Linked DNA regions of Struthio camelus. The protein of the gene in region 2 binds, or shares a complex with, the protein of the main gene of each other region. Links are inferred from orthologs where the notes say so. Each region holds a gene or a part of one and is shown on either strand. Other genes may lie near its edges.

What was found.
Region 1: the proteins of CSF1R (region 2) and CSF1 are in contact, whole or in part, in a crystal structure (PDB 3EJJ), measured with the Mus musculus proteins. The link is inferred for Struthio camelus from reciprocal best matches to the Homo sapiens genes CSF1R and CSF1. Residues at the interface, in NP_001032948.2 of Mus musculus: Arg142, Arg146, Leu149, Arg150, Lys151, Lys168, Val169, Leu170, Ser172, Asn173, Val231, Gly232, Phe233, Leu248, Ser250, Asp251, Phe252, Asp254, Asn255, Tyr257, Lys259; in NP_001107002.1 of Mus musculus: His38, His41, Met42, Gly44, Asn45, Gly46, His47, Phe87, Gln90, Asp91, Asp94, Arg98, Asp101, Glu110, Arg111, Gln113, Glu114, Leu115, Asn117.

Annotation. Positions count from the first base shown.
Region 1 is NC_090965.1:4,263,113-4,277,886, forward strand, and holds the start of CSF1 (macrophage colony-stimulating factor 1), read left to right. Parts: upstream 1-9,099; 5' UTR 9,100-9,183; coding exon 9,184-9,204; intron 9,205-10,246; coding exon 10,247-10,378; intron 10,379-12,311; coding exon 12,312-12,374; intron 12,375-12,742; coding exon 12,743-12,922; intron 12,923-13,314; coding exon 13,315-13,492; intron 13,493-14,570; coding exon 14,571-14,774. UniProt on the Homo sapiens protein: Cytokine that plays an essential role in the regulation of survival, proliferation and differentiation of hematopoietic precursor cells, especially mononuclear phagocytes, such as macrophages and monocytes.
Region 2 is NC_090954.1:7,293,512-7,308,557, reverse strand, and holds the start of CSF1R (macrophage colony-stimulating factor 1 receptor), read left to right. Parts: upstream 1-7,867; 5' UTR 7,868-8,033; coding exon 8,034-8,082; intron 8,083-13,324; coding exon 13,325-13,570; intron 13,571-14,367; coding exon 14,368-14,652; intron 14,653-15,046. UniProt on the Homo sapiens protein: Tyrosine-protein kinase that acts as a cell-surface receptor for CSF1 and IL34 and plays an essential role in the regulation of survival, proliferation and differentiation of hematopoietic precursor cells, especially mononuclear phagocytes, such as macrophages and monocytes.

The DNA.
Region 1 (14,774 bases), on a different chromosome or scaffold from region 2:
TCGCCCTGCCGAGGCCGCCACCTCCCGGGGCCCCGGCCCCTGTCACGTTCACGGGGAAGACTATTTTTTTTTTTTTTTTACTATTTTTTGTTTTATTTTCCTTCTCTGTAGCTGGAATTTCCCTTCCTGCGCTTGCCGTTCGGCCCTGGCAGCCGGGCGAGCGCTGCGGCCCCGGCTCGAGCCTCTGGCCCCGAGGTTCCCGCGCCGGGCGCGCCACGCCGGCGTCTCCCGCGGGGCGCGACGCCCCGTCGCTCCGCGCGCCTCGAGCCGAGCCCTGGAGGAACCTGCAGGTCGCACCGGAGCGGGACGGGGTCGGGGTCGGGGGGGGGGAAAAAAAAAGGACGGAAACCACAAACGGTTTCGATGCGTTTATTAGCCTCGGCGGCGTTTCCCCTGCCGGCGTTCCCCCCCGCGGCGGCGGCGGCCTTTCGAGGTGGCCGGGCGCCGATCCCGCAGCACGGGGTCCGTCACGGCCCGCTTTGCTGCCGGGCAGGGATGCCGTGCCCCCCCCCCCCCCCCGCTCGGGTTTCGGGAGGGGAATCGTGGCCGGGAGCCGGCTCCCCGCGACCGGCCTCGTGGCCTGGGGAACCGGGAGCGGAGCTGCAGCAAGTCGCGGGCTGCAAGGGCTCCGTTTCGGCTCCCGCCGCGGCGTCCGCGGGAGCCCCGGTCCCTGCCCGGAGCCGGGGGGGGGGGTGAAGCGAGGTGACTGCAGCACCCGGTCGCCCGTGGGCGACGCTCGCTGTCGCGGAAAGAGTGAGCCGTGCCGGCCGTGGGTCGCTCGCTCTCCCCCAGGAAAAACCAGGGGCAAAGGTTATTTTTAAATAGGATGCGTTTCCTCTTCTCCTTCCTGGCCGGGGGCACGTGGCGGTGAGGTCATGGAGAGCCTCGGCTCACGGACGTGCTTCCAGCTCCTCGCAATCGCCTCTCCGGGGCCGTTTGGAGAAATTCTTGGCCGGGTCCCGCTCGGCGGCCGGACGAGCTGCGGCGCGGAGGCCTTCTGCCCCGAACGCGCGGCGTTCGCTCGGTGCCCCTCCGACTCCGCCGTCCTCCCCGGGCCGAGCGACCACATCCTGAGCTCTCTATTTGCCCGGTTCCTACGGTCCCGCGGGCTTTTCCCGGAGCGGCTTCTCCAGCCCAGAGCCGCATGTGGCTTTGGATGGAAAATCAGAGCCAGATGTGGCTGAGCTGCTGCTTGTTCCTCCGAGGGCTGAGCCGAGCGGGGCCGGGGCCCGGGAAGGGTTGGGGGCGCCGCGGAGCCGGCCGGCCGGCAGCCGAAATCAGCAGGGGTTTGGCACGTTGCCGGTGACTTTGGAGGGGGCAGATGGGACCTTCTGCAGCCCGGCTCAGGGGCGAGAGGGGCACCCGCGGGTGCCGCCACCCTCGGCCAGGCAAGGCGGCGGCTACGGGTGCTCCAAACAGCCCCCCGGCTTCGGGCTGAGCAAAGCCTGGGTTTCGGCTGCGCGCCGGCGCCCCGAGCGCCTGCACGGCCGGGCGGCTTTCGGAAGAGCGGCTCGCGGCCCGTTTCCTTGCGATCCGGAGCCCGTCCGTATCCCGGGGTTGTTTCCCGGGAGCCGTCGTCCCCTGCGCTGCGCGCCGGCCGTCCCGACGGGGCAGCGGCGCTCGAGGGAACGGCCCCAATTTGGACGGCTGGAAAAGGCACGGGCGGCGCGCGGGGCGGCGCGGCCGGGCACGAGCGCCGCCGTCCCTCGGGGTGGGCACGGTCGCCGGCGGCGGCTGGGGCCGCGGTGACCCCGACGGCTCTGCCGGCCCCGCTCGGGGCGACCCGGCCCCAGCGCTAACCGCTCGCCGAGCAGAAGGGGCTGGAAAACTCTTGTGGTTGCTCCGAAATGGAGCCTGGCTACGCGCAGACCACACGAACCTCCGCATGCGACAGCAGCGGCCGGAGGACGAAATTCCACTGCATTATGTTTAATTATGAATGTCGGGGTTTTTTGGGGGGGGGGGCAGAGGGAGCCGCCTGCAGCTCGGGCTGCAGCGCCAGCCCCTTCCCCGGGGCTGGAAGCAGGACGGGGAAGGACGGTCCTGAGTCTTCGCTGCTGAGTGCGGCATAGCCCAAATTCGGGACCCGGCCCCCCCCCCGCCCCGGTGCCTAGAGCATCCCTGGCTCTCTCGGGCTGCCCATGCCCGTCCCCCACGGCGGACGACGATTGCTTTGCTTTTTAACCTGGTGGGGCTCCCGGGGCCGGTCTCGCGAGGGACCGTTGCACCAGCGGGGTTGTCCCTGGGGTGCGCGGCGGGAGCCGGGGGTACCCGCCACCGCCACGTCCCCCCCCCCCGCTTCCACCCGTCCCCGTCGGCACCCCAGGGGCCGCGGGGCGGGAGCATGGGTGGAGGCGCAGCAGCGCGGGCCAAGATGCATCAGCTCGTGTTTTTCTGGTAGCGGCTGAAGGTTGTTTTCCCCGTTCCCGGGATGATACAATGCTCTTGGCGTAGGTGCACGTCCCAGCGGCCGGGCACAAACCGCGCCGCTCCGCTCCCGCTCGCTCCGGCCCGGCGACGGCGAGGAGGAGGGTTTGGAGGGCGAGCTGAGCCGCTGTGCCGGAGAGCTGCTCCCGCCAAGGCCCCCCCGGGGCTCAGCCCCGCTTTCGGCACTGGGCAGCGGCGGGGAGCAGAGGAGGAAGGAGCCCCGTGGAGCCGGGGCGGCCGAGTGCGAAACGCTTCGCCTGCTCGAAGGAGCAGCAAACGGCGCCGGCAGCTTGTGGCCCCATTTAAAAAAAAAAGAAAAGAAAAGAAAAGGGGGTGAATGCACCAAAAATCGGTGCCTACGGAGGCGGGTGAGGCTGTGTCACCCCTTCGGGCCGGGCTGCTCGGCTCCCGCCGCGCTCCCCTTGCTGGGCCCAGCGTTTGGGGAAAAAGGGGAGGAAAAAGGTGAAAGCATCCGGCTGGGAAATCTCCCGGGAGGAGCGAGGCCACGGCCACCGGCACGGGCCCGAACGGAGGCCGGAGTCGCGGCCAGGGACGGGAAAGGCCAGATTTACCGTCGGCGTTCGCCAGGGGAGCGTGGGAACGGCCACCATGACGGCGGCTCCTGGCCGAGACGTGACGGCGAGACCGCGCGCGAGCCGGCTGCTTTTCGATCCCGCCGTGTCCCCTCTCGAGACGCCGGAAACGCCAGGCCGGAGACACCGTCGCTCGAAGCCGTTTGGCTCGAAAACCGCTTCGAATCAAACCGAGCGGGTCGCGTTCGGCCGGGGAAGGGACCGGGGGGGGGGAGTGATGCCTCCGGGCACTGCCGGGCTTTTCCGGGGTGCAGAGCCCGGGTCGGGGGCGGCCTCCGGCCACCGCCTCGGGACGGGGTCCGGCGCTCGGCTGCACCCCTAAAGGACGGCCGAGCGCCGCATCCCGCGGCCGGCCGGCCCGTGGGCTCGCTCCGCTCGCTGCCTCCGGCGGCAGCCGGGCCGCGGCGGCGGCGGCACAGAGCGGGACCAGTCGCTGATGTAAACAGCCGCGGATAAACAACCGGCTCGGCCAAGGAGGACAAACGGCTCCTGTGTTCGCCGGCGGAGCGGTCCCCGGCCCTCCCCGCGCCGCCGCAGCATCCCCGGCGCTCGGCGCGCCTCCCAGTGTCCCCCCCCCCCCGCCCTTGCCTCCGTCCCCATCCCGTCCCCATCCCTTCGCGCCTGCTCGACGCCGGCGTTTTGCCCCAGGTTGGCCCCATCCGTCGGCCCGTGCCGGCAGCGCCCGGATGCGCTTTACCCGCGCTCCGTCTTTCGGCCGCCCGGCTGCTCCCGACGGTGGCACCCGCGGGTGGCCGGGCAGGGGACAAGGACGTTGGCCCGCTCGGGGCTGGAGCCGACCCGCAGCTCGGTGGGGACCCAACCGGGGTCGCGGCGCATCCTCCGTGCAACCCCCTTGCCCGGCTCGCCAGCATCGCCGGTCGCTCGTGGCCGGGGGGGGGGGGACGCGCCTGGCTCCTGCGGGGAGGAGACGGGCGCTTTTGGCGGCGCGGCTCGCCGCGGGGGGTGAAGCGTTGGACCTTTACCGCGGGCTGTTCCCGTGCCACCCTTGACGGCCCCGGGGCCGCCCGCATTCCTCCGCTCCCTTAGGAAAACCGGCTCGGGGCTGTCCCGCGGGGATTTCCAACCTCGGCACGCATCCCGCCGGGCTGCCGGCGCGGCCTCGGAGAGCCCCGTCCCGCTCCGGGCATCACGCGGCCCCCGGCAGCCGGGACCCCGGCCGGCCGCCGAGCCGCGGGGCTGCCCCCGCTCCAGCCCACGCCAGGCGGAAAAATCCGTCTGCCGGCTGCTGATTTGGGCCGGGGAAGGGCAGATCGGAAAGCAAAGCAGAGCTGCATGCCGACTCTCTCCCGCCCGGCCAGTGAATCAGCGGGGAAGGAACTGATTAAGAGCTCGCAGCACTTTCTTGCTGCAAATAACTTTCTCTGCGCTGCGGCGAGGCCAAAATTGGGTTTTTTAGGAAAGGGCCGTTTGCAGCGCGAGGCCCTTTGCCGAAGGGGCCAGCGCGAGCGCCAAGCGGGGAAGGTCAGCGGCGCCGTCGCTCTTGGCTGCCTTTCTGCACTCCCCCCACCCCAAATTCGGCATCGCTCCGAGCCGGCCGCTGCCCACCGGCCCGGCTGCTCCCGCTGCAGCGCGAAGCGGGCTCGCCGGTTCCCCTGCGCCTCGGCCCCGGGACTTCGGGATTTCGGCAGGTTTTGGAGGGGAGCAGGGGCAAAACCCGTTTGCTGCCCAAATCGAAGAGCCGGCGGCTCCGCAGCCCCCTCGCTGCCCTCATCCGTCCCGCGGAGATGGTCCCATGACTCTTGGCCGTGACACTTTTCCGGTCACTTAAAGGCAGGCGGGGGATGAGTGTGCCGGAGATAAGCGAGGAGCGGGGCCGGCCGGCCGCGGGAAAGGGGCCCCCGCGGCCCCCGTGCGGCGTCCCGTGAGTTGCCCCGCCGCCGCCTGCCCTCCCAGGACAGCTCATCCCGGAGCGGCTCGAGTGGAAAATGTATATGAACCGCGAGGCGTTGCAAGGGGGAAAGGGTTTTTTTTTGGGGGGGGGGGTTGCAAATTGTTTTGAACCCCGGCATCCTTCCTCCTCCATCAGCAGCATTTAGCCGAGCGCTGGGGGGGGGGGGGGTCAGGGCCACCCGCGCGCTCCCGTCCCCCAGGCAGCTCCGACGGCGCTTATGGGACGTCCCGGCTGGCACCCAGCTCGGCCCCTTCCTCCGCCGGCCACTTCGGCTCCGCTCCGCGAAAAAACGCCGGCAGTTTCGGAAAGCCGCTCGCCGTTTCCGGCCCCGCGGAGCAGACACCGGCGCTTCGCCGGAGCTCGCCTCGCTCGGATGTGGCTCTGGGCGCCGGCGGCGGTCGCCGGCGCTGGCGGCCCGTTTCGCTCGCCGCTTCCCCATTCGGGGTGACGAAGGCTTTGCAAGGAAACGGTTTGCCCCACGGCGACTAATTGTTTCCAGTTGCCTCCAAACAAGCAGCAAACAAACAGGAACCCTCCCGAAAGCAGAGAGAACGTGGCGCGTTGCATCATGCAAGCAACGCTGGTGGTTTCACTGTGCCCCCCGCCTTTTGGGTAGCGACGCGTCCCCCTCGCTCGCAAAATTAGCCCGGTCCTGTTTCACCCACGCAAACGGGGCTCCCCGACCCCGGGTGACCCGTGCAGGCGCCTGTGTGCGTGTGGAGCTGTTCATGCACGCCTGTACACACGGCTCTGTTCACGCACACCCATGCACACAGATCCATGCATGCACACGCACACATGGCTCTGTTCACGCACACCGATATACGCAGATCCATGCGTGCACACGCACACACGGCTCCGTTCACGCACATCCACGCAGGCGGATCCATGCACACACGGCTCCGTTCACACACACCTATGCACGTGGATCCATGCACGCACACACGCGGCTCCATTCACGCACACCCATGCAAGTGGATCTGTGCACGCACACACACACACGGCTCCGTTCACACACACCCACGCAGGCGGATCCATGCACACACGGCTCCATTCACGCACACCCGTGTACGTGGATCCATGCACGCACACGGCTCCGTTCACGTGCACCCATGCAACCGGATCGGTTCCTGCGCAGCACAGGGATCCGCTCGCGCCTCCTGGCCGTGCCCGCTCTCTGCACGCATCCCTGCCCAGCACCCAAAGTAGGAGACACGGCCACCGGAGCGGCCGCTGCGGGAACGCCTTGGGTTTTCTGATCAGCTTTCTCGCCCAGACGGCTCCGTTTCTGCCCCGCTCGAGCCCGATGGCACACACCGAAGCCACCGTCCAGCGCTCGCCCGAGCGCGCGGGCTCCCGCTGCCCGGATGAGCGAGCCCCGGTGAACCCGCAAGCGCAGCACCCTGCCTGCCGGCCCAGCCTCCCCGGTCCCGAATCTCCTCGGACCCTCCGCACCGCAAAAATGTTGCTCGAGGGCATTTCTGCTGTGATGGATTGCAAACGGCGGTGGGTTCGGGGAGCTGAGGCCAATTTACTGGCAGGGAGCAGCCCTTCGGGGCACGTGCTGCGGAGAGGAAGGGTATTAAACCAGCGCAGGAGTTTCTGCAGGACAGCTTCTGACGTGGGGTAGGATTAAGGCACAAAGTCGCTTTGCACTTTGCAATGCCAAAAAGGGGGTTTGAGATGCTGTGGGCAGAGTAGCTGCAAGGGGGTGAAGTCGCAGCTGGTGAGGGAGGCTCAGCACAGCAGCCGGCCCCGGCGGGAGGCAGCGTCCCTGGCGCACGGCGCTGCTTTTGAGGGAAAAAGGGATTTTTTTTTCTGTAGGAAGAGATCTGGGCCTGGCTGGATACCGTGGCGCAGGCATGCAACGGAGGAGCAAGGCCAGAGAAGGGGATGCCCAGGCTGGGTAGGCACGTGTCTGCAGACTCGCGCCGCTGCGGGACTGTGCGTGTGTCAGTGCTGCGCACAGCCACGCATGTCTTCACGGCCACGCGTATGCATGTGGGTGTGTGCGGGCAGGCGCCTATATTTATTTGTGTACAAACATAGATGTGTAAATGTCAGGGTGGATATACGTAACGTACGTGCGGGCATGGACAATCAAGTGGTTGTACAATGTATATGCAAGTGTGTGCACACATACGTGTCAGGTACGTGCGTGCACACACGTGCTACGTCCATGCGGGTGTCTGCGTATCTGTGCGTGTATGTGAGTGCGTACGAACGTGTGTGTGTGCCTGCCCGCACGGGTGTGCACACCCCCGCACCTGCGTGCAGGTGGTGGTGGGGGGTCTGTGTGCATGCGTGTGCATGGACACGTGTGTGCGCATTTGTGTGCTTGCCTCTGTGCGTGCATGGGGTATTTGTGCGTGCTTGTGTGCACAGCTGTGTATACGTGGGGGAGTGGATCCATATGGGTGTGCATGCACATGGGGACCGTGTGCACACACGTGCACCTGTGTGTGTGTGTCCATGGGGATGTGTGTACTTGAGTGTGTGTGCGCGCACACATGTAGGGTATGTGTGCACACAGATATGCGGGTGCATGCACACAAACACGTGCACATGCACGCACGTCCAGGCGCGGGTGCTGGGGGCTGCGCACCCACGTATGTGTGCATGTGTATGTGGCCACGGGTGTGCGTGCACCCACGTGCGCTTGTGGGCATGCATGCACGCAGGTACACGTGGGGGGAGGTTTGCATGGATCCATTCGTGTGCTGTGAGTGCCATGTGCCCACTGAGCCGAGCCCAGCTGAACACAGCCGAGCCAAACCGATCCGAGCTCTGCTGAGCTGAGCCAAACTGAGCTGAACCAAGCCGAATTGAGCTGAGCCAGATCCAGCCAAGCCAAGGTAGGCTGAGCTGAGCTGAATTGAACCAGGCCGTGCTGTGCCGAGCTGAGCAGAATCAAACCAATCTGATCCGAATCATACTGAGCTGAGTTGAGCCAAACCCAGCTGAGCAGAGTTGAACTGAGCTGATCCAATCCAAATTGAGCTGAGCTGAACTGATGTGATCCGAATCGAGCTGAGCTGAAACGAAGTGATCTAATCTGATCCAAAATGATCTGGTCTGATCCGAGTCGCACTGAGCCAAGCCATACCCAGCCCAATCGATCCAATCTGATCCAAGCTGATTCGACCTGTGCCGAACTGAACCCAGCCCAACCAAGCTGAGCTGAGCTGAGTTGAACCCAGTCCAATCGAGCCGAGCCGAGCCAAACCCAGTCCGATTGATCTGATCAAAGCAGCGCTGATCCAATCCAAGCCAATCCAAGCCGAGCCCAGCCGCGCTGGTTCGATCCAATCCGAGCTGAACCCAGTCCAATCGATGTGATCCAAGCAAATCCGATGTGATGCGAGCTGAGCTGAACCCAGCCCAAGCAATTGATCCAAGCCAAGCCGAATCCAGTCCAATCGAGCTGATCCGAGTCGAGCCGTGCCGATCTGAGCTGAGCTGAACCCAGTCCAATCGATCTGAGTCGATCTGATCCGATCCGAGCTGAACCCAGTCCAATTGAGTCGTGCTGGGCTGAGCTGAGCCAAGCTGAACCCAGTCTGATCAATCCGAGCTGAGCTGAGCTGAGCTGGGCCGAGCCAAGCCAGGCTGAACCCAGTCCGATCGACCTGAGCCGAGCCAAACCAAGCTGAGCCGGGCTGGGCTGGGCTGAACCCAGCCCGATCAATCCGAACCGAGCCGAGCTGAGCCAAGCTGAGCCAAACCCAGTCCAATCAATCTGAGCCAAGCCGAGCCGAGCCGGGCTGAGCCAGGCTGAGCGGAGCAGGGCTGAGCCAAGCCGAACCCAGTCCGATCCATGGGAACTGAACTGAGCCTAGTCGGGCCGGACCCAGTCCGATTGGTCTGAGCCGAGCCGAACTGAGCTGAGCTGGGTTGAGCCGAGCCGGGCTGAACCCAGTGCAATCGATCTGAGCCAAGCCGAGCCAAGCCGGGCTGAGCCAGGCTGAACCGGGCGGAGCCGAGCCGGGCGGAGCGGAGCGGGGCGGCGGGGCCGAGCCGAGCGGAGCCGGGCGGAGCCGAGCGGAGCCGGGCGGAGCCGAGCGGAGCCGGGCGGCGGGGCCGAGCGGGGCTGGCCCGGCGCCAGCCCTTTCTCATAAACCACATGCTGCCGCGGCGCTATAAAGGGGAGCGCGGCGGCGGCGGCCGCTCAGCCCGGCCCCGCTCGCCGCCTCGTCCGCACCGCCCCGCACCGCCGCGCCCGGCCCGGCCCCGCGGCTGCCGGCAGCCCCCATGCCCCGCCTCGGAGCCAAGGTGCGGCGCCGCCCGGGGGGGGCCCCGGCTTTGGGGGGGGGGGGGTTGCACCCGGTATTGGCGGGGGGGACAGGCATGGAGGGGGCACCCAGCATGGAGACGTGCAGCACTGGGGGGGGTGAGCACTCAGCTTGGGGGACACTGAGCATGGGGTGGGGGGTCGGGCATGGAGGGGGCACCCTGCTTGGGGATGTGCAGCACTGGGGGGGGTGAGCAGCCAGCTTGGGGGACACTGAGCATGGGGGGGGGGTGCACCCAGTATTTGTGTGGGTGGGTGAGGGGGAGGTCAGGCACCCAGCATGGGGAAGGGGGTACTCTGCCTGGGGGGCACACCCAATATATGTGTGAGCAGGGCATCAAGCTTATGGGGCACCCGTCTTGCCCATCCCTCTGTCTGTCAGCCCCCCCACCTCCTGCCTGTTTTGGTGGGGGGGACACGGTGGGGACCCCCAGAGTGGCACTGTCGCCCTGGTGGGGTGAGGCTGGAGCCTGCTGCGGTGGCCCGGCCGGCATCTGCTCTTTCACAAGACGGGAGAATTTCTGGGCTCCCTCCAAGGGAAATTCCCCCTCTCTCTCCTCCCAGTGCCAAGAGACACTCTCGGTGCCGGTGCTGTGAGAGATGCATCTGCAGGGTTTTCCTGCCCGAAGGGGTTTCCTGCACCCCTAGCTCTGGCTTGGGGCAATTTGGGCCTGGGTCTGAGGGATGGGAGGAGGATTCGGGGTGGAGGGGGTCTGCCGGGAGCCCAGGGAGGAAAAATAGCAGGAGAGATGGAAACGGTGCAGGAAAGGGGCCGAGAGGTCAGAGCGAGGGCTGGAACGTGGGATGGGGAAGTGGAGGCGCCGAAGGAGCTCGGGGCTGTGCCGGTCCCAGCGAGAGTTGTGTCCGGGCTTGCGCCGGCCAACTCTCGACCCGGCGCGCCCAAACGAAAAAAAGACAAACCCGGAGCAGGGTTGTGGGGGGGCCGCGGCGGGGTGAGCTCGTGCGGCTGGGTGGGACGCTGCTGCGGGACGCTGCTGCAACCTGTTGCTCTGCTGCCTCCAGGTGTGCCTGCTCCGCTGCACCCTGCTCTCGTCCCTCCTCTTCCTCCTCGTCTGCAGCATCCATGAGACAGAGCAGAACAGCTACTGCCAGCAGATCATCACCCAGAAGCACCTGGCCGAGTTGCAAGAGCTGGTGAGTGCCGTCCCGCTGCGGGCCCTGTTGCACCGGGGACGCTGGCAGGCTCGGCCCGTCCCCTGCTGAGCACCCGCTCCGGCGCCCGAGCACCCCTGGGCGCGCTGGCCGGGGAGGTGACCCGCCACCGTGCCTTTTGCCAGGGTGGCCGCGTCCAAAGGCTGGTAGGAAGAGCAGAGGAGAAAGCGGCGTGAGTCAGTAGTAGGGCTGGAGGGCGAGAAACAGGGCAAGGTTGGGGGCACCCGGCGGTGGGTGCTGGCGAGGAAGGACGGATGCGGGGAGCCGGCGCTGGCGGCGCAGGGGTTAACGTGAGGAATCCGGCTGCATTCCTGAGTCCAGCTGCTTGCCTGGAAGCTGGGCTGGCAACGGGGCTGAGGGTGGGTGGCAGGCGGCGAGGGGGGCTGCCGGAGCCAGCGGGGCCAGGGCGACAGGCGCCTTTGCCCTGCGTGCCTCCGGGGCAGCTCCCAGCGCTTCGGGGCAGGATGCAGAGGAAATCCCTGGCCCCTTCCCAGTTCCCGTGTGGGCCGGGAGCAGGCTCACCTCCACCCGACGAGCAGGAATTACATGGCTGTGGTCCTGATGCTCAGAGGAGAAAGCAAAACTGGGGATGCACAGGGTTTTTTTTAAACTTATTTTTATTGCTGCGGAGACATGTGTATGGCAGATCAAATTCAGCTTTTGGAGCAATGTTTGCTCTTCAGCTCTGGGGGTGTGTGGGTGAGCTGTTAGTGATGCACTTTGAATCCTCACTTCTTGCTCGCTTGCACCGAGCTCCCCAGGGCCTTGCAGCCGCTGCGTGCCAGCGTACAAACCGCTGGGTCTGGCCTCGCCGTACCTCTTCCTCTTTAAGCGCTCTGCTGCGGTGCCAGGAGCTGGCAGATGTCATTTTTCCAAGCTTGGCTTCCTCCGCCCGTCACGCCGGCTGCGCGCGGGCTGCCCTCCAGCTGCCTGCCCCACGGCTCCCTGCACCCTCTTCCCCGTGAAGCCTTTTGCAGCCCCGCGGCGATCCCGAGCGGGCGCCCGTTGGGGGGTGATCGGGATGGTGCAGGTTTGAAGAAAAGTTGTGGTTTCCCTGCCGGAGATTGCAGCCCTCTTCCTCCTGCATCCTGCAGAGGCGTTTGCGGAGGAACGGGCCCTCGCTGCAGGCCGGCCAGATAATGGAGCAATTGTTTCCAGGCCGACGCTGCTCTCCTGGCAGCCGGCGCACTCCCCGCCTGGGATGCAGGCCCAGAGTTATGCTCCAGGGCCTGGAGCACGGGGTTTGTCAGGAAGGGAGTTTTGGGGGTTTTTCCCCTTCCTCCCCTCTTCTGCAATTGGAAACCGTTGCGGCATGGGGGTCTGCGGGACTGTGGCGTTGCACAGAGCGCCGAGGCGGCGCGTGGGCTTGCACGGCCTCGGTGTCGCTCCCGGCGTGCCGGATGTGTCTTGGCCACGGAGCGGGAGGCCCCCGGTGCACGTGGCTGGAGGCCACAGGGCAAGAAGCAGAAGCAGGTCCCTTCGCCTCTCCCACCTATGTCTGGGGAGGAGGGTGCAAGCGGGTGCTCCTTGGGGCTGCGCCGGGAGAGCCGCTCTCGCGTTTCCAGCCCCGGGCAGGGCTGGGCTGTTGGGATGGGAGGAGGGAGGCAGGGAGCCCCTGGTACCTGCAGCCCGCACGGCGGGAGGAGGGAACGTGCTGCTCTTGCGGGAGATCTGGCCTCCCCCTGCTGCAGGTTGGACCTTAGGGAAGCGTCTGTGCGGCGAGGAGGAGGATGGAGCGGGATGAAGCAGGGGCTGGAGGTGCAGTGTGGGTTTATCTGCTGAGCTCCAGACTTGTTGAGACATCCGTGGCGGTGCATGAGCAACACCCCTGTCCGGCCACGTTTGTCCCCCGGTGACGGGGGCTGAAGCAGGGGGTCGGGCGCACTCGGGGTGACTCCCTGCTCTGTCCTTGCAGGCTGACACCCAGATGCAGCATCCAGGCAGGGTCTCCTTCAGGTTCATCGATAAGGTGCAGCTGGTGAGTGGCTCCTCTTGGCACCGGGGAGGCAGAGGGGTCCCCAGGCACTTTGGGACATCCGTATCGGGGTGCATCTCTCCCCCCTCGTCCCCGTCTCCCTTTTGCCATCAGTCCTCCCCCGCTTGGCGGGAGGCAGCACATGCGCGTTGGCCAGGAGCGCCCTGTCCCGCCTGGCCGCACGGCTGCCGAGTCTCGCCTCGGTGGGTTGGATTGGGACGCCGGAGATCTGGGCTCAGGGCTGCCCGCCCCAGGCGTTTCGTGGCTCCGTGCCTCAGTTTCCCCCCCCAGCAGGCCAGGAGGTGCAGCACTCCCTTTGCCCAGCTGGTGACCTGTCGGCCTTTTGGGGGGGGGGGTCTCTGCCCTGCCAGGACGACCCCGTTTGCTACGTGAAAGCCGCCTTTCCCCTGCTGGGGGAGATCCTGGGGAAAACGGAGTTCAAGGAGAACTCGTCCAACGCCAAGAAGCTGCAGACGGTGCGCCGCATGTACAGCCGCATCGACGAGAACGTGGACCCCTGCATCAGGGAAGAGGATGACGAGGAGAGAGAGGTACGGTTGTCTCTTGGGTCCCCCCCCCCGCCCTGCCGCGGGGGACGTGGATCCAAACCCTTAACCGTGGCTTTGGCACGCAGCCACCCTAAATGCAAAGGGGTGCTGGGGACCGGCAGGGTGCGGGCGCTGTGAGATGTGGGGTGAAACAGGGTGCTTGGGGATGGAGGACATGGAGGGGGGAACCCCCCCCCCACCAGCTGGCCCACACTCCTCTCCTAGCTGCAGGTCTTGGGCCAAAACCTTGCCCCAGATGGGACCCGTCTACTGGTGGCTCCTGACACCTGTCAGTGGGTCCAGCTCCGTGCCACCGGCCCCGAAGGCGGAGGGTAGGGGCGCGCGGGTCGGGAGCCGTGCCTGCCGGGCGCCGCTGAGCCCCGCTCTTCCTCCAGCTCTCGCAGAAGTGCTTCAGAGAGTTCACCACGTCCCCCTACGAGATGCTGGCGCTGGTGAAGCAGTTCTTCCACGACATCGACCTGCTGCTGCAGACCAAGGAGACCTTCGAGAAGGACTGCAGCCACGTGTACCGGAAGGTGTGCCTGGAGCCCGAGCAAACCAGCTCCCCGCTAGGTAAGACGGCGAGGCTTCGCCTCCGCCCGGCAAACCCCGGCGCGGCGCCGGCGGCTCGCCTGCATGACGCAGCTTTACGGCCGTGTGTCTCCGTCCGCGGGCACACGCGGGTAAACGCGGCCACGGCCCGTGTCTGCGTTGGTACCTGTCTCTAGGCTGCTGTGTGTCGGCAGGCTGCGTGTCTTCGTGTGGGCACCCCGGGCAGGTCCAGAGAAGGGGCTGACCAGCCTTTGAGGGATAAGAACCTCTTTTGAGAGGCGGATTTGGGCCGCAGCCGTGCTAGGGCAGGAAACCTGCCTGGAATAAGGCCGGCGAGAAGTACCGAGGGGGAATAAGGAGGCAACTCCGTCGGCCCGGCTGAAGGCATCTGGCTTAGCTTCCTCTCCAAAGCCACCGACTTGCTGCATGACCTCGGCCGAGTCGCATCAACTGCCCCGTGCCTCGGTTTCCCCCGGCCGGCCCCCTGGAGTAAAAGCCCACAGGCTGGCGCGAGGCTGAGCCCGCGAGGAGAGCGTTGGCCCGCCGGGGTGGAAGAGACTGTCGCTGCCCGTGCTTTTCTTTTTTTTTTTTGGCGAGCGCCCGTGCTGCGTGTTTGCATGCCGGCCGAGAAGACGGCCTCGCCTGTCGTCCGCGCTGCCGGCGAGCCGGCTCTGTGCTGCGTCTTGTCGCTGCCCCCCCGGGCACCGCGGGGACTTCAAAGGCGCCTTCCCGTTGACGGGGCTGCCCGGCTCCTGCCAGCGATGCCGAATCTTGGATGACCCGTTGCCGCCGGCTGAGGGGAGCCGATGATTTTGGCCTTGCCCGAGGGCTGCTGCGCGCCGTCTGTCCGTCCGTCTGTCCTCCCCTTCTCCCCGAGGGCTGCTGCGCGCCGTCTGTCCTGCGTCTGTCTGTCTGTCCTCCCCTTCTCCCATCGCCTGCTCTCGCTCCCACCTCGCTTCCGCTCTCTTTTTGGGGCTGTCCCCCCTGGCGGGGGTGGGGGGGGGTGCCGGGGTGGGCTGGGGACGCTGCCCCGAGCTCGGGTCTGCTCCTCCGGGAGGCTGCTCACCCCACGGCCCTCTCTTCTCTCTGCTTCTTGCAGGTGTGGGGACAGATGGTGACTGCAATGGCCTGTCCCCTGCCCTCCCTTCTGCCACCCAGCCCTCCCTCTCCGCTGCCGCCCGCGCGGGCAGGGAAGCGGCGGCCGCTAGCGCCCGAGTCCCTTACGGCCTCCTCCGTGCCGCTCTCGCCGGCTTAGACGGCAGCGCCCTGGCTCAGCCGCCCGCTAGCACGGACGGGGGCTCGG
Region 2 (15,046 bases):
TCTGGTGGCCGGGCACAGTCATTCGCAGCCTGCTGGGGACTGTGGATGGAGTGCCACGGGGAACCAAGCAGAGCAAGAATCGGGCAGGATTCCTCTCTCTTGGAAAGAACTTTGAAGAATAAAATGGCAGAGATCTTCCTCCCACTTTCGCCTCCTCCCCGGCTCTCACAGACAGGCCTGGGACCTCTTGTGCTCTATGCTGGCACTTGAATGAGGGGACTCAAAGCAGGAGGAACACCAGGCTTTTGAAATCAGCCGTGAGCTCCTGCTCTGCAGAGACGAAAGCTGAACCCCAAAAGCTACAACTGTGACATCAGCACAGAAATGAACAGGCTTTTTTCCAAAAGGAGAAGTTTCGCCTTTCACAGAGCTTTATTTGCTGCATGCCCCTCACTTCCATTAACCCCTTCACTGCCCTGCTTATGCACATCTTTATGTGCGTCCTACAAAAACTGCAGGTTTGAAAGCAGACAGGTTTGAAAATTCAGTCAATGTATTTCTGGGTTTCAGCCACCTTACAGCTATTTAGATTTCTTTTTTTTCTTCAAAAAATCTGAGACTTCTGCCAGTAAACCCCAAGCAAGACAGTTTCTGTCTTAAGTCGTCAGTCTTTGCTACTTAGTAAAGCTTCCATTTATGCAGCTAAAAGAGGAGTAGATATTTTGCGGGCTGGTATCACTGGTAAAATGTGAACATAAGAAATAGCACTTTTATTAGTAGCCAGTGGAGTATATTTTCAACACATATGGTCAGATTCCCCTTCATCCATTGGGATCACACTGCGAATGACAGCTGTTTTCCACGCTCTGTTCCTCATGCTTATAACAAAGTAGCCACCTTCTGTGGTCATGGTTCAAGGAACAATCCTTACCACAGGGAAGCAATAACGCATGAGATCTCCGGGGTCAGGCCACTTTATTTTTCTAACTTCTAAGGTGCTTGGTAGGATCCATGTCTCTGCAGCTTGAGCCCATAGGATGCCACATCACATCATCCTAACAGCCACTGCCTGCGCTAGCCCCATTTTGAACTTATCCTTCTCTATCAAGGGTGATGAGAAGTAGCCGGTACTCCAGGGGAGGTCAAATCAGGACCTCGCATAGGGCATTAATACATTCTGATCTATGCTGGAATTGTCTTGCCTGGTGTAGCTTTGGCTAATGTTGGCCTTTTCCCAGTCACAACATAGTGGTAGTTTGGAGTCATCCCCTGACCGATCTAGGCACCCACATCTTTCTACTCTTCTGGCATTTCTAACCGAGATACTTCCTGCTGTTCCAGACATTGGGTCATCAGTTCATTTCATTAGCAAACTTGTTATTTTTGGGCTGGACTGACTAATAGAAATATTCAATGCTTCTGGTCTCAAGAGCAACCCTGGAGAACCACTTCTACTACCTCCCTCCAGCCCAAAGAGTTCCCCATCATTTAACCGCTTCTCACCCTCCTTTGGGATATTTCCATATTCACTTCACAGTCCCTGCACTAAACTCCATGTTCTACAGATGAATTACTAATTTCCCACTATCAAATGCTTTTCTACAGTCCTGAAAGTGAAGATTTTTTGTTCTCCCTCAAGGGGGAACTCAGGTATCCTCTCCTATTGTCTGGGCATTCACTACCCTTGGATGGCTATTGCATTTTTATCCCATTTGCATATTTTTTATCCCATTTATTTCAATTATCCTTTGCACCAAAACCTGTTCTGTCTGCTGATCAGGTCAGATTTGCTAGCAAATTGCTGCTAATCCTCTCCTTTCTTAACACGGTACACCAGTCTCTTTGCATGATGGTACCGTTCTCACCTCCAGAGAGGTATGGCCAAATATCTTCCTTTGGCCCCAGGACTGCAAGGGCCAAGTCTTGCACTTTGTGGTACTTTCCTATTCAGCTAGTCCTATCACCCCCTTAGTGAGGGCATGCACACGCACTGCAGGAGCAATCTCCTCCACCCAGGACAGAGTAGCAGCTCTGGCTGCTAGTGTAGGTACCCTGGCAGTGGATGCTGCCCGGTACTGGTACAGAACTGGTAAGCTCTGCACCAGCGATGGCTCCAGCTGGGCATCCCAGTAGCCCCAGCTAAGCGAACTCTCCTCTAAGAGAGGGCTCTGCAGGGGCAGAGGCTTCCAGCTCCAAAAATGAGCTCACTCTGCACAGGGAGCCAGATCCAGCCCTCTCTCCCTCTCTCTCTGCTTCTGACATTCCAGTCCCTGTGCAGTCCGATGGGTGAGGGCTGTGGGAAACGGCTGGCTGTTCTGGGCCCATCAGTTTTGTAGCCATAATTTCTCCAGCGACGTTCTGAAGGGAACCGGTCCTTCCAGGTTTTTAGTTTTGATTATTAGAATTTTTGTTTGGGTGTGTTTTCATGTTCAGAGGTGGACCCAAACTGGGGCTTTTACTCACAGCCCAGATCCCCAGAAGGGACACATGCCACAGCTTGGGCCCATCTCTAGTGCAATATCTTTCATTTGTAGACCATATTGTACTCAACAGCTCTTGCGTTGTTATCAGCACCAATATATGCATAATCCTACTGCCAGTCACTTTTTCATATGTGCCTAAGTATATCCCAGAAACTAATGTGACACGCTGGTGTCTCTTTTCATGTTAAGATGTGTCTCAGACTGATGTGTGTGCAGGATTTGACCCTTCTGTCCTTCTCGGTTTGCGCGTTCCTATTTTTTTAAGTGAGAGTGTCATGTTTAGTGTTTGTTTGCATCATGTTATGAAATCTAGAGCACAGTGGCCTTTACTTATAACTAGATTGTCTCTGTTCACCTGCCAAGGGGACTGTTGTGGAGTCCCGTGGGGATGAAAGACAGAAGTGCAAGGCAGATGTGCAGCCTGAAGAAAGTTAGCCAGAAGTGGGAAATGGCTCTTCCCCTTCTTCCCAGTCAGGGCTCACCAGCTCTCCGGGGTGGGGAGAGACAGCACCGCAGATACAGGGTACTGGGCAGTGGGTTAGATTCTGGCTGTGGGGGAAGTCCAGGGTCTGTCTGTGTAAAACTGGGCTGCTCTGGAGGAGGGGATTTCACAGACCTCTTCTTTTGGCGGCTTTTTCTAAAATGGGATGTCAACTAATGCAGTAAGGAGGCAAAGCCCCTGCTCCAACGCACAGGCGCTAGGGAAGGTCTCCAGCTGGGCTCAGTGCCTAGCTCGGATCCCAGGATCAGCATGGCCAGTTTGCAGGGCAAATTGCACAACCTCACACATGCCCAACGTGGACCGGAGAGCAGCAAGCTGCCAAGTCAGCCCTGGGGAGCCCAGACGCAGCCTGGGGTCTCTGGGGCATGCCCACATGGATCTGGATGCAGGAGAACTGCTCCAGTTTAGCCCAGGTGACTCTTGGAGAGATGGCTCTTCTTGCTGGACTGAGAGGAGGCAGGAAAGCCAGCTAGAGCTGAGGGCTGTGCTGGGAGGCCTGCAGTGCCCCACTCGTTCCTATCCTTTCCTCCTGTATGGAGCTCATCAAAGTTGCAAAGGCCTGAAAAACTCCCCAAAGCGTGCTCGCTGCCCTCTCCCCTCCACTGTGTGAACCAGCTGGGATCACACCGTTACTCTGCAGCTTCCCTGCCTCTACACTGTCTGCCAGAAACCATCCTGGGGCAAGGAAGAAAACAGAGTTCAGACTGAGGTACCAAAGAGTTAACATTCTCCTAGGTTTACAGATGTATTTGTAGGACTCGTATTATGTCACATCTATAGCCATGAGATATTATTTTTATGCTGTAAACTTTTACAAATATGTTTTTAAAGAAAAAGTTTAAAATTAAAGGTGTTTCTTCTTTTTGCAAAGTGTCGTCTTCTTCTTCGTTTGCCTGGTTTCGGCTGCTTCCACTTGCTCCCGCTCAGATGGGTTGGGCATACAGCTTAACCATGTCGTGGGTGAAGGCTAAGCACGTTAATACGCTGTGCATGACCCTAACGCTTAGCAGAAGCCAAGCTGGGAACCAGGCAGTGAGAAGCACAGCGAGGCAGCAGCTGAGCCCGGAGACGTGGTAAGGAGCAGGGGCTGCAAACAGGACAGGGTCTGCCCTGGCTATCTGGTAGCGGGCCAGCCTGTGGGTCACGCTGCGCTGAGTGGAGGTGAGTGGATGCAAGGACAGCTGAGCTATCAGAAGATGCACCAGCAACACGTACATCCTGAAACCCAGAGCTGGGGGTTTGGCCCAGCAGCCTTCAAGCAGGGCTTGCCCTCCTCCTGAGTCACGCTGCTGGGTCTGGGCTTGAGTCAGGATAGAGATGTGGGTCTGCCAGGCTGGAGCAGTGTGGGGTTGGAGGGAGGCGTGGGAACACCACAGTGCAGTTGATTTTTCTCCATAGTATAGTGGCTCAGGGCAGCGGGAGAGAGGGGAGCTAGCAATGAGAGCAGGGCAGCAGCAGGAGCCAAGCCGTGGTGCACAGAGCTTCTCTGAGCTGCATTCTCCTCCTCTCCTTCTGGAAGGTGCAATTACCCTTTAAAGATGAAACCCGCGAGTGCTGGTTCCCCACACTACCATCCCTCTCATCCCAGGTCCCTCTGTCTCTCCCCTTTCCTCCTGGTCCCCTCACCTTCCCCCAGATGCCACCAGGTAAGTGCTGAAGTCCCCCAAGCACACGGGAAACAGTTACCTCCCGGAGTCCGGCCCAAAGTTGCCTCCTCTCTGCAGCACCACTGAAACTGTTGCTCTCAAAAACTACCCCAGACTGCTGAGCAGAGCTGTTTGCAGCCAGCTCAGAGCTGCATGCTTGGAAAGGCTGAGGTTGCTGCACAAAGAGGATTTTGAACTGAGGCTCAAATATATTGACTTTGTCCCAATTTTCAGGCTGTGTGATGCAGCCCCAGCACAAGTCCTGGCCGGCAGCAGTCGTGCCCGTTTGCACAGGGATTTGTACACCCCAGCTCCTGGAAACCCTTTGTGTACCCCAAAGGCCCAAGGCACTGGCTGCAGCAGGCGACAGGTGCAAGTCTCAGCAAGGTTCTCCTTTCCAGCACGGCCTGTCCTGAGCTCCCATCTCTGCTTAGTTTGCTAGAGAGGAGGTTTGCAGGCTCCCTGACCAGCTCAAGCTGATTCTCCCCAAGTTTTGCTCTGGGTCACCTGGCATGGCTCAGCCGTGTCGGGGCATTTTTCTCCGGGACATGAATCAGCAAGGGAAAAAAATCAGCTCATCTCCAGAAAGGCTGCAGTAAAGGCTTGCAGAAAAGCAGGGAAGGGGGCTTGTTAGCTCTCAGATGAGAACCTGGCTCATTCCCACAGCCCGATTTCCACCCAGCAGGCCTTTTGCATGTGGAGACGCACCAAGAAGGAGTTGCTGGGAGGGATATGAGTAGCTGGACCCTGGGACCTCCAGCAAGACATTTTCTCCACCTGAAATAAGTTGCTCTCCTCTTTGGTAGTAAGCACATATGGTGAGACAGGCATCTTGTGTAGGAGCCCAGGGAAGCAGAGAAATTCAGATGGTGCCTTTGGAGACAAACATGGCCTGCTGCAGCAGTCAGGCTCCCCACAGCAGGACTTTTAGCTATTTGGGTACCAACAGCTGACTCAGGACATGGCTGTTTCCCACGTGCCCCCCAGCTGCTGCAGGGCAGGTGAGACAGGCAGTGATGCTGCAGATGGCTGTGCACAGTACAGGGGTCCTGCAGGGCTGCAACAGTCCAGCCCAACTCCCACCAGCCTGGAAATCAGCCTGGGCTCCAAGTGCTCACAACTCCTCTACCTTCTACAGCCAGCCCATGGCCAAACAGGTAGTGGGTAGGTCTCGTGCCATCTCCTAGCATGCCATCTTGGCCATGGAGGCCTCCACAAACATCCCTGGACTTCAAATGACTCAAAGTAAGGCTGTAGCTCCTCTGAGAGTAATGCTGCTTCTTGCTCCGAGCTGCTTGGGCACAGGAGCCCACCTGGGCTAACAGCATCAGCTGGCCATGCAAAGCGGGGATCTTCTGCATCAAGCTGGTCCTGTGCAAGCCTGGCACAGCTCTTATTACTGCTATGTCAACCCACTCATGACAACCTGGGGAAGGAAATCCTGAGCGGTAGGAGCTGTGCCCGCACTAGTAACACTCCAGTGGCTGAGTTGCCGCTTGCAGTCACAGAACTTGGAGGTGCTGCCCACAGGCAGGAAGAGACTGACCACCAATGAGGCAGGAAGCCCAGCAGACAGCCTGTCCCACCAGCCTGAGCATCCTCAGGTGTGCCCAGCCCAACTTGAGGAGCCATGTGCGCTGGCTGTGACTTGTCACCTGTAGACTGCTGCCATCGGAGAGGCTCTGTAAGGGGCTCCTCCAAGGCAAGAAGGGAGGCTGAGAGATTGTTTCCCTTCTCTGCTAGCAACCTGTCTGGTTTAATACTTGTTCACATGAGTGAGTCAGTTCTCTCTGAGCTGGCATTTGTTCCTGGAAAAAAAAAAATTAAAAAGAAGAAGGAGGGAAGCAAACATCCTTTAAAAAGTCCCTTTGGCTCAAAAGGAGGAAAGATAATCAGCCAGATATCTCCTGCAGCCCAACCACTCTCCAAGCCCCCAGCTCTGGGCAGGAGCCCCCCAACACACCACAGTGTCTCTGGTTCATGTCCTTCTTCCCCATGTCCTGCCAGGAAAAACTGCTGAGAGGAAATCTTCTGCAGCCAAAAGCTGCCGTTTCTTCTCTCTGGACTCCTTCGCTCCCTTGTGCTCTCCAGCCATCCCTCTGGCCAAAACCTAGAGCTCTCTCCTCATTCCCATGACTCTTAGTCATCTTCAGCACAGTCAGCCGTGCTTTCATCTCTTGGCCCGAAAGATATTGTCTTCCCGGTACCTCTCTAAGTGCCCCTTTGGAGAATCCCGCAAGCCTGCTCCCCTCTGATTTACAGAGACACGAGGAGGACTACTCCGTCAGGAACATTTGAGCTGTAAGTGCAGATTCAACAGCCACCTCTGTACAGACACTTCAGTAAACCCTGGGTCCTTCTGTCCAAATTAGGCAGCCCATCTCTCTGACACCTCCCTGCTGAGAGCAGACAAGCAGCTGTGGCTCCAAGCAGCTAATTAGGAGTTCTGGAGCACCCCAAGACCTCTTTCTCAGCCTGTGCTACCAGCTGGTGGTTGTAACTTCCTACCCCAGAGCTGTCACGACCCAGGTTGAACTTTTGCTGCAGCATGAGCTTAACTAGCATTGCAGCACAGGGCAAGGGGGACCCTGCACCTCCCTTGACCTGCTAACATTTTGCTGACCTGACCACCCCTTAGCGGGATGTTTTGCTTCAATCCTACTCTCACCCCTGATTTTAGAAGAGATGCAGTCCAGGAGAGGGTTAACAAAGCACCTCATTACTACTCCCAGGTGCCAGCCAGGTTGGCAATCAGAAAGCAGCTGCAAAAAGTCTCCCCACCAAAGCCGGCTCCATGAGGTGGATGAGCCCTGCAGGTGTGAGAACAGTGGGGCAGGTGGGAGATATTCCCTGGGGCCAGGGAGAAGGGTCCTTGGTGGAGCCTGCAGCCTGGCAGCAGCTCCCTGACCGCTGTCCCCTTCAATGGCTGCAGCGCTCTGGGATGGCCGTGTCTCTGCATGCTGCTGGCTAGAGAAGGGCCACAGTGTGGCCTCGTGAGGCTCAGGGCCACAGGGCCCTCTCTGCCCTGGGGTTCGTATCCTCAGTTGAAACCAAACTACTTGTTGTCCTTGTGAGCCTTTGCTACCTGGGAGCCACCTGGGGCTGAGCCCAAGGCCTTTTTGTGGACTTGCTGTAGAGGAGTGCTGCCCTGTGCTTGCCCTGGGGGCCCCTTGCTGGGCCCTACAGTCCCACCTGTATGGTTCAGGTTTGTCACTGATGACATCTCAAAACATCGCTTTTTTTTCCCCCTCTCCCCTCCCATTTTAAAAACAAACCGGAAAAAAAAAAAGGAATTTCTCAACTCGTGGTCAACTCAGAAAGGAGAACCTCCTACTGAGAGAGCGCTGTGGACAGTGCCTGTGCGGAGAGGCGCCTGCCGCCCGAGAGGGTCTCTTCAGCCACCTGCAGGGTCTTCTCTGCACCCCAGATCTGAGCTGGGGAGGTGCCACCGTTGCTGGGAAGATGGGCGCTGGCCTCCTGGTGCTACTGACTGCTGCTGGCCTCTGGCACGGTAGGTCCACAAACCCTCCAGAGCTCCCTTCTGTCGCTGCATCTCTCCAGAGTGGTTTTAGGATTTGGTTTGGGTTTCCTGAGGGTCCAGCATGAGCACAGATATGTGGGAGAACCCTCTTGTCCCAGCCCGTCCTTGGGTGAGATGGGATGATGGTCCCCCAAAAGCCCTGTCTGTGCTGGGGAAGGGGGAAATGCCACAGTTTGATCAAAGGGCACTCGGGTCCCAGCTGCAAAGGGCAAAGCTGGGCTCCCAATCGCATCTACACCAAGCCCAAAAGTGCTTGTGTGGGCCTGTGGGAGGGGATGTGGCAGATGGGCAGGTTCAAGGAGCCTTGTAGGAGGCAGATAGCAGGTGAGGGATGCCCACTCCGCAGCAGCACTTAGCTGCAGCGAAGAGACAACAACCAAGGCTGTAACACCTTTCTGAACCCCTTCCAGGGCTGGCTGCCATGCAGGAGGAGGGCAGTGGTGGAGAGAGGCTGTATCGTTAATCCATGTTGACTTTGGATCTCAACGGTGCTGAGGGCTCGCTTTGGCTCCCTGTTTCCCTGCCAAGAGAAGGCCAAGTGGTGTGGAAAGGATCTCAGCAGTAGGGAGAGAGGTGGATTGGGTCTGGGAGTGGGTTAGGAGAAAGAAGAGACGCAGCAGAAAGCGTGCCCCAAGGGAAGCTCTCTCTGGAAAAAAACATTTGCAAGAGCTGGAGATGCTTGGCCTACAGGTGACAAAAAGCTGGGACAGACACCTCTATCAACCCCTTTCAATGCACTTCCTGCCTGGTAGGAGAGAGGTGTCTGAGCACAACTGTTCTTTGGTGGTATTGGCTTGTACAAAAGGGCTGTAGAGCAAGGTGTTAAACCCTGTGATGGAAACTGAATTCAGGCAGCCAGGAGGGAAAGATGAATACAGCTGGTTTTTGAGGCTGATGAGGTGGCCAAGAGGCGATAGCTCATCGACCTCAAAAGTCACTAAGCCAGTTCTGAAGTTTGCAACCAAACACACAGAAATCAGCCCCTGCTGACCTGTGTTACTGATCTCACGTATCAAATACTTGCAGCGTCTCAGTTCTTGTGTCCCCCTTCCCACCATTCTCCTGCGGAGCAAGCTCAGGGACTGTGAGGCTCTGGTGGGCAAGTCTCCCTCAAAGGGTGTAATCTTGGAGGAAAAACATTTGGCACGTAGCAGGAAGACGGTGTTTCCCTCTCAAGCTGCTACTGTGTTCATATTTTCAGCTCAGAAACCTTGCATCCACCTTGCTATTGCACTGCAGTATTTCCCTTCAAGCCTCGTCTCCTACATGCTCAGCTGTTTCCAGGTCTGCTGTGCTGGGAGCTGGGCAGTGAAGACTGCAGGGTTTTGTCACTGTTCTAGTTCAGAGAGTCTGGTCTGAATTCCTTGTCGCGCTTGTTCTTGCTTCAGATCCCTTCCTTTCCAGCCCCTGCAGCTATTCCTGGACTCCTAAGGAGTAATTATGTCTTTAGCATCTTTGGACCCAATTTTAATTTTCAAATGTTGCTTCCTGATTCCCGGGTGGGACAGGGCACTGGAGCATCTTTTGTGAGACTCTCAGCAGCTTGATTGTTGGGGGGGACCGGGCACCTCTGATGTATGCATGTGACAGGTCATAGCAAGATCTGTCAAGATCTTGCAAAAGGTTTCCTAAGGTTCTGGGTGATGCAGGTCACCAGCCATGAAATCCTTGTGAGACATTTGTCTGTCATATCAGGGAGTTAGATACATGCTGTTCGCAGTGTCATGGCTCTTGGCCACCTCCAGCACAAAGCCCTGGCCTACTGAGGCTGTCTAAAGCAATCTCCTCAGGCTGAAGCTGGAGTCAGAGCTTGGCTCCTTTCTCCTTCCTTTTGGATTGTGGGTGCATGTTCTGAGCACACCCATGGCTGATGCAGTGTGACCCTTGGGACCTGGCTTCTCGCTGGGGAAAATGTCCTGCACTCAGATCCCAGCTCCAGATCAAGCAGAGGAAGGATTTGAAACCTGAGCATCCCACATCTGTGTTCTTGGCTATCTGGAGAGGTCTTTCCAGGGTTTTGGCATTTTTGTTGGGGATGAATCTAAGTCTCTGAGGAGGAAATCCCAAGCAGAGAAGGGCACCGAACCTTCTTCTCTGCCTCCAGGTACAGTAGGTGACTATCTCAGGAAGGTGTTCTCAGCCACCAATCCTCTCCTGTCATTGTGGGGAGAGCAAGAAGAGCCTAGGCCTAGTGCAGGTCCCTCCAAGGGCCAGATTCAGCCTATCTAGCCCCCAGGATCAAGTAAAGGGCCTGATGAATAACCTCTGTGCAAGGCTCCTGAGCCTCCAAGTCTTATTAGCCTCCACTTCTCCTTACTTGCCTCTTCCACACCCTCTGCAGAGGAGAGTTATGTTTTGGCTGTGATCAGAGAGGCAGGGACAGAGCCTGCAGCTGTTACTAGAGGTCATGGTTACACAATCCAAGTGTGGCAAAACCTTTGGCCAGCAGTTACCGGCAGTGCTGAGGAAGCTGCTGAGGAGCAGCAGAGACATCCTTGGGCTTCGTGCAAGATTGCACACTGGTCAGCAGGGAGCAAGCCTCCCCCAGCAGCCCTGCTTCCCCATTCTGGAGAAGGGGAGAAGGACCTCTGACTCATCTCCCATTGCATGCAAAGGAGCGGGCGCTTCGGGGGCCTTTACCTGGCAGGACCCTGCATTCAGTGTCCCTGTGCTCTGTCCTGTCCATCTTCACTCCACCTGTGCGGTGCTTTCGCCATTGCTAGGAGTCTTCAGTGACTGCCTGAAGGCTGCTGGCTTCTCCATTGCAGTATATTACGTAGAGTTAAGTACTCTGGGGCCTTTTCTGGCTACAAGTACCTTGGGAGCAGTTGGAGGCTGATAGCAAGGATGCTGAGTGACAAGACTCTTGTTTCTGCTCTACTGTTGTGGCCACGCTAAGGACCAGTTATAACATGGCCTTTTCCCAAGCCAGTCTGAATGCTGGAGCGAAGCTTTCCTTCACCCAGAGCTGCATCAAACTATGCTGAAGCCTTGGATGTAGAAGGATAGCCAAGGTGAAGAGCTGGCAAGGCAAAGTGTCCAGTGATAGAGAGTAAAAGCAACAGAAATGTGTCAAGCCCTGCTAGAAAACACAGCTTAGCAAAGAGGGAGGAATGTTGTACCTCAGATATGTGGAAAATGTGGCTTTGCAAAGGATTCTGGGGTATGTTTTTCTCCACTTTGGGAATAAATGAGGCTTTTCCTCTTTCCACAGACAGATTAAAAACATCACTAAAAAAAAACAACACTCAAGGAGATAAATCTCAAACATTCCATGCTGCCCGTCTCCCGCTTCCTCCCCCAGGGCCTGCAAGTTTGATTCAGGCCTTGTTTGGGTTTCCCCAGTGCAGCCGCATCATTGTCACACACCAGTAAAGCTCTCCAGGGGCTTGAGTGTCATGGAGCTCTGCCCTCTGTTGCATGGAGGGAGGCCTCAGCCCAAGACCGCTTCAGAGATGCTCTTTGGGCTCTGGCGTTACAGGCCTGAGCAGAGCCGGTAGGACAGGATGCACGTTTGCGCCTTGGCCATCCTGTTCCTCACCAAGTGAGGGCTGTGAATGGAGGTGGCTGAGGATGGGTGCATGCTGCTTCTGTCAACTCTGTTACATGGATGGTGTCCTCTGTCCAAGTGGCATCTGGGACTGCAGTGCTTTAAACAGTATTTGCTACTGCTGCCCATGCGCAACCAGCCTTCCTTGGCTCTCGTCCCTGCAGCAGACTTGGATAGTGAAGGGCTGTAACATCAGGCCGTTGCTCCGCTTCCCCTTGAGGACATGCAAATGCAGCTGGACAAATGGTGTCATCATGGGACACTTTGCCCTTTCCCACTTCCTGCCAGATTAGGGCCTTTATATTTGTTTGGACAACAAATGTTTCCACTAACAACCTTGTGAGCCCTTGTGAGTCGAGGGCTGTGTCTGCAGCAGAGTTTGATGCATTCCAAGGCCAAATTTGCCCCTTTTTTTCCACTGCCACCACCCCGGAGGAGCTCTGCTGCCTGCAGTGACCTACTCTGCTAAGAGCGGCTGGCTGATAACTTGGGCAGATACCTTTCTTCTTACTGTTATTTGAGCCGTAGTGTGTGTCGCTTTAAGATGTGAGGATGGGTTAGCAACCGGGAAGAAAAGCAGAAGTGGGAGAATAGCCCTGGATCAGGGCCGGAGGGGAGGGTGCAGAGCCCCCCAAACACAGATAGCCATTTGCAATGTGTTTCCTGTCCTCCGCAAAGGCCTGGCGTGGGGGTAGCAGTACCACTTCTTCCCTAGCCCCACAGTACTGATTCATTTCTCACTTCCCCCCACCCTATATATAGGTGGTGACTCAAAGAACTCGCTGATGCAGCAAAACAGGGAAAAATATTTCCCTCTGACACTGAGGGCTGGAGTGGGACTCCGGTTCCCCTTTATTCAGCCAGCAGAGAAGCCGTCTTCAAGGCAGAGGCGGCATCAGAAATCTGGCTGCATTGCAATAGCAAGTGACAGCATAGTCTGATACGCAGCGTATAGGATTATGGCTGTGGGCTTGCATAAACCATTTAGCTTTTACGTGCCTCAGTTTCCCACCCCTGAATATGAATAATAGTGCTGACTCGCTTCCTAATATATTGATGGTACCTGGGAGAAAAAGACACCGTCTGAAGGGTGCAAGGACACCTACGAGTCAAAATCCACTGCCCGGCAACCAAAAAAGGCAGGCTTCTCAAAGGACATGTACTGGACTTCTGCTCTGCAGAAGCTTTCCAGGCTGCTTCTAACTGATCACAGCACCAGCACGACAGAGAGAACCCCATCCACTGGCCTTGGCCTGAACTTCACCAAACGGCCGTGTAGGCTCACCAAACTCCTACGGTACCTTCTGCTCCACCACAAAAAGAAAACCTGGTGTGAAAAGAGGCAAAACCCAAAAGGAACAATTTCTAAGCTAGTACCTGGCCTAATCAGCTCCAGATGATTCTGTTTCCTTCCCTATTGCTCTGAACATTCAGATATGGCTTCATTTCCCTTCCCTGAATTTTACTCCTTGGAAGATCAGGTCACTGTATCAGGCTGGTGAGGTGGAGAATGGCTGGAGTGAAGTGACACTAAAAGCCTGTCTGCATCCCAAACTCAGTCTCTTCCCAAAGCTAAACTACTCCATGCTCAACAGTGTGAAATTCAGCAGAGCATCCTAAGGGATCATTTGCGTGTCTTCCCTCTCTCTCTTTTGTTTGCAGGCTCAGCATCCCCAGTGATCAACCCTGACACCCCTTCTCTGGTTGTCAATACTGGTGATCCAGTCACCTTGCACTGCTCAGGAGAATCTGAAGTTGAATGGTACAGCCAAAAGGATACATCCACCAACCACACCAGCAGCACACTCAGTATTCCCAAGGCCACTTACAGGGATACAGGCACCTATAAGTGTGCTTACGTCAACAGCAGCGACAAGGGCATCGCCTCTGTGCATCTGTTTGTGCGAGGTAGCTGTTGTTCTCTCCTCCTACATGTGCTGGAAGAATGGCTTCCTTTCAGGGATCAAAGCCATTACGCAGGTCCTCTGTATGGCTAAGGTTATGTGTGTCTGGGGAGAGTGCGGGCTCCTAGCAGGGCTGTGGCTCACCCACATACAATGGGGTCCATGACTGAAGCCTTCAGGTAAGGCGCAGAGCACCTACATCTTCTGCAGATGTATGAGTGGCATGGACCTCTTCCTCCATTTACCTTGGCTTCCCTTCCTGAAAAATAGTGTTGAAAGTCTGTTTTCTGTTGTAACACGCAGTGAGGTCTGGAAATCAGAGAAGAGGTATATTCTCAATATCCCAGATAGGAGGGAGATTCACATTAATCAATCCCCACCATGTGAGCTGAATCCTAAAAATTATTTCACCCCAGAAAGAGTTATGCCTGGGTAACTCCACCACATGAGTTCACCCCTTCCCTTGTACCAGGGATGCTGTCCTGCATAGGGAAGGTGAAGGTCTTTCTTACAAACAAAACTAACGCCATGATTAAAGGCTGAATAGTGCTAAACATGCTTCTTAATCTCTCTTGTCTGTGTGCATTCGTAACTTGCTAGCTCTGCTCTCCTCAACTGCCTTAGCTGGAATTGGCCTTGTATGAGTTTTGGAGGTTGAGTGAAGCAGGCATGAGGCAGGGCTGCTCCAACTCCCACTAAACAGCAATGCTGGAGAGGACTTACCTTTGCTGAAGTTTGTCTCTCGGCTACAACATATGCTTTCTGGATACAGTTCTCTGGCCTGTCTTGCCTCCTCCACAGATCCCAATAACGTGTGGTACACCCCAACTTTCCGGATCCTCGTGACCAAAGGCAGTAATGCTGAACTCCCCTGTCTCATCACGGCCCCTGAGTACGGATCCAGTGTGACTCTGACAATGGACAACGTCTCTCGCCTCTCACCAGGGACCAATTATTCTTTCAGTACAGAGAAGGGAATAACGCTATACAATGTGCAACATCATCAGAAGGGCCATTACTATTGCCAAGCAGTGATAAATGGAAAAATAAAGAAGTCCTCAAGAATAAGACTGATTGTGGAAGAAGGTAAGAGGCTGGGGTTGCTACCATCCTCAGGGGGACAGCAATAGCTCAGCTGGCCACAGTGGATAGTTAAGGAAAAGCTCCTGTCCAGAGGTAGGAAAGACCTTCTGAACCTGCAGTCTTTTAAAGGTACTTAATGGAGCCGAGATACAAAATAACACCAGCTTTTGGCAAATTGTCCCCTTTAGGTGGGTCTCCATGGGGATTCCATTATTCTAATCATCGCAGGCACTACTGTAGCACAGAGAAAAACATCCACTTGTCTCCCTGACGTTCTGAAAGTCCTCAGGCCTGGTGCTCAGAACGTAACCATGGCACAAGGATCCCCTTCCCTTTCATCTCACAGTGCTGTTTGGTGTGGTGTCACCCATCTTTACAGGTTTCCCATAGACACATG